Canis lupus familiaris: one gene and its partner. The protein of the gene in region 2 interacts with the protein of the main gene of each other region in a pairwise test. Links are inferred from orthologs where the notes say so. Each region holds a gene or a part of one and is shown on either strand. Other genes may lie near its edges.

What was found.
Region 1: the proteins of GRN (region 2) and OTX1 interact in binary tests that used the Homo sapiens proteins (3 or more experiments, as listed by UniProt). The two-hybrid records come from large-scale screens. The link is inferred for Canis lupus familiaris from reciprocal best matches to the Homo sapiens genes GRN and OTX1.

The regions. Positions count from the first base shown.
Region 1 is NC_049231.1:64,119,880-64,123,822, reverse strand, and holds the start of OTX1 (homeobox protein OTX1), read right to left. Parts: upstream 2,813-3,943; 5' UTR 2,701-2,812; intron 2,335-2,700; 5' UTR 2,266-2,334; intron 1,055-2,265; exon of another isoform or gene 653-1,054; 5' UTR 543-652; coding exon 446-542; intron 1-445. UniProt on the Homo sapiens protein: Probably plays a role in the development of the brain and the sense organs. Can bind to the BCD target sequence (BTS): 5'-TCTAATCCC-3'.
Region 2 is NC_049230.1:18,952,340-18,954,822, forward strand, and holds the end of GRN (progranulin), read right to left. Parts: intron 2,314-2,483; coding exon 2,216-2,313; intron 2,127-2,215; coding exon 1,881-2,126; intron 1,616-1,880; coding exon 1,382-1,615; intron 1,280-1,381; coding exon 1,049-1,279; intron 953-1,048; coding exon 815-952; 3' UTR 510-814; downstream 1-509. UniProt on the Homo sapiens protein: Secreted protein that acts as a key regulator of lysosomal function and as a growth factor involved in inflammation, wound healing and cell proliferation. Regulates protein trafficking to lysosomes, and also the activity of lysosomal enzymes.

The DNA of each region.
Region 1 (3,943 bases), on a different chromosome or scaffold from region 2:
GTGCAGACAGCGGATGTAGAGGACAATTCAATTAGGGAGGGAGAGCCCCTCTTCTTCGTCTCAGCCAGTCACTTCTCATAAGAAAAGCCTGGCCCTTCCTGTCAGGGCCTAGAGAGTGTCCAAATCTCTCTTTCAACATTGGGAGGAAAGGAATAGATTCACACACACACACACACCCCAAAAAAGCCACCCATGAGAAACGAATCCTTGGGTAAGTGGGCCCTGTGCTGGTGGTGGGACCACAAGAGACAGATTGCCCAGCTTCACTGGCCTGGCCTGCCTCATGCACCCGCCACTGCCCTGTGAGCCTGCGGCGTGCAGAGCACTGCAGGCAGACCCGCCATCCCACTCCCCGGGCCTGCTCAGACACCGAGTGTGCGCTCAAACTCAAGAGTCTGGGCGTCCCCAAGATTTGCAGGGGCTGGGGGCAGGGACTGGTGCTCACCCGGGTAGCCCACGGAAGGGTGCAGGAGGTCCATGGCTGGCCCGGCCAGGCCCAGCCCGTTCATGCCATATGGGGGTTGTTTGAGGTAAGACATCATGCTAACAGCCGGGTGGAGGCGCCCGGACGGATCCAGGGGGCCGGGGCCAGGCGCAGTGCGGGGCTCCCACTGCGCAGTCCTTCAAACTCTGCTGCGTCGGGGGGCCCGGCCTATGGAGACAGGAGACACAGGTAAACAGTGACTGGGAGCCATCTCGGTTTCCTGGTCTCGTCGGAGGCGAGCAGCCGGGGGCTGGGGAGGGCACGCAGGCCTGCGGAACTCGGAAGGGCGGTCAGCTTGGCTCTACAAGGCCTTGGCCGGAAGACCACAGCTTCTTTGAAAAGTCAGCTTTTCTGGATCGTCATCGCCTCTTCTCAGGCGTGGAATGGGTAAAAGACCCTCGTAGGGCGTCGCTAGGAGTGCGGAGAGGCTAAAAGCAGGGCCAAGCTGGAAAGTGAGGGCCTAAAACGCCCGGCGTGCAAGGTCCCAAGTCTAGGCCAAATTCTGGTCGGGTAGGAGCCGGCCTCCATACTGCAAGAGCAAACGTTTACTCGGCGCCAGTGAGGCAGGCTGCCCAGGGCACCAGAGGTTGTTTCGTTTCGTTTCAAAATGTTTTTGAAAAGCGGGATGAAAAGGTGGAGGGTCGGGGAGAGCTAAGGTGAGGCGCCGCGGGAGGCTAGCGGCACCTGGGCCTCTCCGGGTGGCAGGGCCCACTTAGGGTGCGCTCCTGCAAGGGTGTCCCCGCTGGGTCTGGGCCCCCGAGCCCACGGCCACCCTGCCAGTTGACCTCCCTGCGCCCGGCCGCGGAGAGGCCGCTCCCCGGGGAGCCCAGCACACCTGGGCCACAGTAACAGGCCCGGGCCCACGGCGGCCAGGAGACGCGGACGCGGGGGCCGCGGGGGCTCCAGGGCGCGGCGGGGGGTCAGGGGCGCCCAGGCCCCGCCGCAGGCCCCCTCCCCGACAACGCCCGCCGCCGCTGCTTTCTGCCCGCTGCTGGCTGCTGGCTGCTGGCTGCGGACAGCGCGGCCCGGGCGGAGGCCGGAGGGCGGCCCGCCCGGCGCCCCGAGGGGTCGCGGATCGGGGAGGCCCGGGCGCCGCGCCCCCGCGTGCTCCCGGCCTATCCCGCCCGCCCGGCCCGCGGCCCAGGACCCTGCCCAGGGCCGACGCGACTAGGCCTCGGCGGCGCAGCTCGGCTGACCCGGGCCGCCAGGTCGAAGCCCGGCTCCCCGCTCGCCTCCCCCCGCGGCGCCGTTCGCAGGGGCAGGGAGTGGAGCTGGGGGGCGCGGCCGCGGCCCCGGGGGACCCTGCGCTGCACCCCGCGTCGCGGGGGATTCAAAGCAGGCCCGGGGCCGGGCTGGGGAGTTCGGGGAGGGCGGGGAGAGCCGGGGCGGCCTCCCGCGCCCCTCCTCCAGGCCCCACGGTCTGGGCTGGCGGACCCCAGCTGGCAGGGAAAGGGGGGCGAAGGAGGGGCAGCCCGGGGCTCCGGGGCCCAGAGAGAGGGGGGCACGCCGGGCCGCCGCGCCTCTGCCGAGCTGCAGCGTGAGTTTCCAGAGACTTTCTTCAAACTTAGCACTTGAGCTCGCTGACTTCGGAGGAGGCGGGGGAGGGGCCGCGGGGCCGCGGCGGGGATCGGGGGTCCTCCGCGCGCCGGGAGGGGAGCCAGGCCGCCCCCCAGCCCCGCCCACCTGCCGGGGACCTGGGAAGCGGGGACCGGCTCGGGGGCCGGGGTGGGAGCAGGCGGCGCGCTCCCGGAGCCAGGGCGGCCCCGCGGCTGTCTGCTTACCTGCCCTCGGCTGCCGGGGCCGCTCACCATCTACCTCGCGCCCTCGCGCAGGCCCGCGGGGCAGCCGACCTGCAAAGACAGAGGGCGCGGGGGTTACTCGCCGGGCCGGACGGCGGGTCCCGGCTCCCCGGGGTTCTTGCTTTCCCCAACTTCCCTCCTGCCTTCTCTTTCTTCCCGGTGGCTTTGTGCGGGTCCCTCCAGGTTTCACTTTATTGCACAGACACTTTGTTTGCAAAGCCCTACGCGTCCCCGAGACACCACGTCGCCCGGGACCGCGCCGAGGGGCCGCAAGGGGTAGGCGGGTGGGGGGTGAGAGGGGCAGCGTTGGGGGGCGGCTCGAGGCTGCAGTTGCAGTCCGGGTGCAGCGCGGAGGCGGCGGGGGCCAGGGGAGTCCCGCCGAGGCACTTTGCGAACTAAATAAATCAAGCGATTTACCTTGTCGGAGTGGCTTGTCTTGCCGGGTTGTTTAGGTGATTGGAAATGTAGCCTGATGAAGATTGATCACCTTTCTACTGCCCTCCCCGGGTATGTGAACGCGAGGTGAGTGCGTAACGGGGCCGTGCTGCCAATCCCCGGCCCCGCGCGGGCTGAGTGACAGCGAGCCGGGCAATGGCAGCCCGAGCCGGGGGTTACCTCCGCGCGCCCCCGCCCTCCTCCGCCCCCTGCACCCCGCCCTCGGCGCCCGCCCGCCCCGCCCCGGGCGCGCGCTAACTCCAGGGCTGGGCTGACAAACGCGGCGCAGAGCGAGGCGAGGACAGCGGCCGCAGCGCCAGGGCCCGTCGGCGGAGGGGGGACGCGGGGCCCGAGGCCGGCCCGGGGGGGGGGGTCCCCGCCCTTCGCTCGCCCTGTCGGCGCCCGCGAGGGAGTGGCGGAGAGGAGACGCGGGGCCGGGGAACCGGTTCCCGGGCTCTCCCGCGCGCCACCCGGCTCGGCGGCGGGGCTGTGCGCTCGAGGAGTCCGGGGCCGCGGGCTGCAGGGCAGTGGGGGCCCCCCCGGCTCCCCCCGGGCGGCGCCCCGGGCCCCAGCGGCCGCCTTCCCCGCGCCGCCACCTGCGGACGGACGCGGCGGGCGCGGGGGCCGGGGGCGGCGGGGGGCGCGGACCCCGCCTGGCCCGCTCGGCCCCCGCGGGGGAGGCCCCGCCGCTCCCCCGCTGCTGCGCGTCCCCCGGGGCCCGCGCGCCCGTCCTCGGCGCGTCTCCCCGGGCGTTGGAGCCCCGCGGCTCCTGCCCCCTTAAGGCGCCCGCTCTCCTCCTGCCCCGGGAGGTCTTAACGGGAAACTTTCCCTTCCGCACCCCGCCTCCTTCGCGGGCGCCCTGCACCGGGGGCGGGGGCGGGGGCGGGGGCGGCAGACGCGGCCACAGACCCCCGGCCTCCGTCTCCTCCTCCCGCGCCGCAGAGGGAGCCTCCTCGGGGCCGTCTCCCCGGATTGTTCGTACTGGCGAAGCCCATTTCCCAGCCGAACTAACTTCTGGAGCCCGCGTACCTGCTGGACGTCTCCAGGCGCCCCCCGCCCCCACCCCCCCAAAAGGGTTTCGCCCCAACCTTGAGCCAGGCGGTTCCTCTTAGGTGGCACCTCCTTCTGAGTATTAGGCACCACTTGGGTCCCTTTCGAGGAATTCCTCCCCGGCTTCCCTAGTCCCCCCTCCCCTCCATCCCAACAGGCGGAGTGAAAAGTTTGA
Region 2 (2,483 bases):
CGGGGGCCTGCGGAGCTGTCCAGTGGTACGTGCTGGGTGAGGTCTCGGGAGGGACCCGGGTCAGCCTCCAAGAGGGAGGAGGTGGGAGGGGTCCAGACCCCCATTGGGGAGGTGCTGGGGAAGGAGGGCTGGGTGGGGGGAAGCAGTGCCTGTATAAACGTGGCTGTACATAGAAAGATCTATTGTGGGGAAGCAGGAGGGGCGACCGGGCCTCAGCTGCTAGTGTGAGGGCCGGGAAGGGAGGGGGCCTTCTCTGTGGACCCCCGGGAGGGGAGGGGGTGCTGCTTGCTGACTAGCCCATCTCTGGGCTACAATGTCACAGGGCTGGTGGCTGGGGCGGCTCTGGGGACTAGGGGATCGTGTGATGGGATTGCTGTGGGCAACAGCAAATATAAAACTGGTGAGATTAACTCTGTGTGTGTGTGTCTTTCTGTGGGGTTGGGGAACACGGACACTGGGTGGGAGCCCTTCTCAGAGTAGGGCAGGCAAGGTGGTCAAATCAGACGCTGTTAAGAAAGTGTACAAACTTTACTGCAGCACATACACACATACACCTGTGGATAGGGAAGAGCACCTGGCCACAGGGTAGACGGAAACAGGGAGGGATGGCAGCTTGTAACATGGCTTTCGCCACAGCCTCCCTTGAGATAGGGAAGGCCTTAGGTTGAGGCCCCAGCAACCATGATGGGGGTGGGACTCAGGATGGGGGACTTGGGAGAATTTGGTGGGGGAGAGGTGCTGGGGAGGCCTGAGCAGTGGGGACCCTCCGAGCAGGGTCCCAAGGGCTGCAGACTCTATAGTCCTTCGGCTCGCCTCACAGCAGCGGTCTTGGGGCTGGGTCCCTCAGTGGCATGTCCCAGCGCAGGCTCTCCCTCCGTAGACATTTGGTGCCCTTGGCCCCACAGTGGAAGCCAGTGGGGCAGCAGTGACGCTGATCCGCACAACAGACACCCTGGACGGCCACAGATGGGTGGGGGCAGGGGGTCAGAGTGGGGCACCTGGCTCTCAGGGATACCCAGCTCCAGGGCAGGGGTGAGGGAGCACTGACCTGGTGATAGGGACAGCAGGCCCAGCCTCCTCGGCTATCTCGACAGCAGGTCTGGTTATCATGGCAGAAGTGCCCTTCCCCACACTTCACGTTCCCCACACCCACGCGAGGGCCACGGGCCAGGCGGACGGCCAGGTGGGTCGAGTCTGCCTCCTTCTCACAGGATCGGGCCTTCACGTTGCAGGTGTACCCGGCTGGGCAGCAGTGCTGACGGTCCTCACAGCACACAGCCTGGGAGGGACAGGGCAGCCTTCAACTCTCCCCTCCTCTCCCTGGGAGACTCAGACCCCCTGTGCAGGGCAGGTGGGGTGGTGGTGGGGGGGGGGCACTCACATGAGGCAACTGGCAGCAGGCCCAGCCTCCACTCAGGCTTGGGCAGCAGGTCTGTCCCACGGGGCAGCTGGTGTGCTGGTCACAGCCTATATCCCTGCGGTGAGATGGGGAAGCCCGGCGGGCAGGCATCTTCTCCAGTCCACTCACCACCTTGCTCCCCCTCTGACAGTGCCCGTCGTCCAAGCACGTATAGCCATGGGGGCAGCAGTGCTGGTGGTCTGAGCAGCAGACAGCCTGGCAGGGGTGGGGGGGGGTAGGGGGGACAGTGGTAGAACAGGATGGTCTGGGAAGCTGCCATGTGGGACAAAAAGCTAAGCCCCTGCCTAGCCCGACTCCCTCTCCTGCTCACAGCTCCCCCAGCTGGGAATGAACTTGACCCAGCTGGTGTGCCACCTGTGGGCCAGGCAGGGGAGAGAAGAGCAAAGCAACAGGAGGCTGGCCACCTGCCTTGGCTAAGACCCTGTCATCCCCCTGCCATGCTCTCCCCCTACCCACACACCTCTGGGGCAGGACAGCAGCCCCACTCCCCGGACATAAGTCGACAGCAGGTATTGGAGGAGGGACAGCTGGTGACGTTATCACAGGGGACATCATTCTCTGTGGCCTGGGGGTTCAGCAGCTGAAGGCGGGCTGGGGCCTGCACCATCCAGGGCATCTGGGGGGCGTTCTGTTCACAGGTGCCCTTCGCTGTGTCACATTTAAACCCAGCCGGGCAGCAGTGTACATGGTCCTCACAGCATACGGCCTAGGGTGAATGGACAGGGGACAATGGGCACGAGGCCTAGCTGGCTGCCACTTTCTGCTCAGCCCAGCCCACCCACCACTCCTGGGTACCTGGGCAAAAGGGCAGCAGCCCCAGGCCCCTGACTGCAGACGGCAGCAGGTGTAGCCGTCTGGGCAGCTCACCTCCATGTCACATTTCACCTCCTGCACTGTGAGAAAGGCACGGAGGACAGGTCAGCGGTGGCTGTGGGGGCCCTCAGGACACCCAACCCCTTGCTGGCGCCACAGCTGGACCCAGGTGTGGAGAATGGAGAGTATATTTAGGCCACCTCAGCAGTGACCCAAAGGCAATGACTAGTGTGGAGGAAAAGGGGCTGTG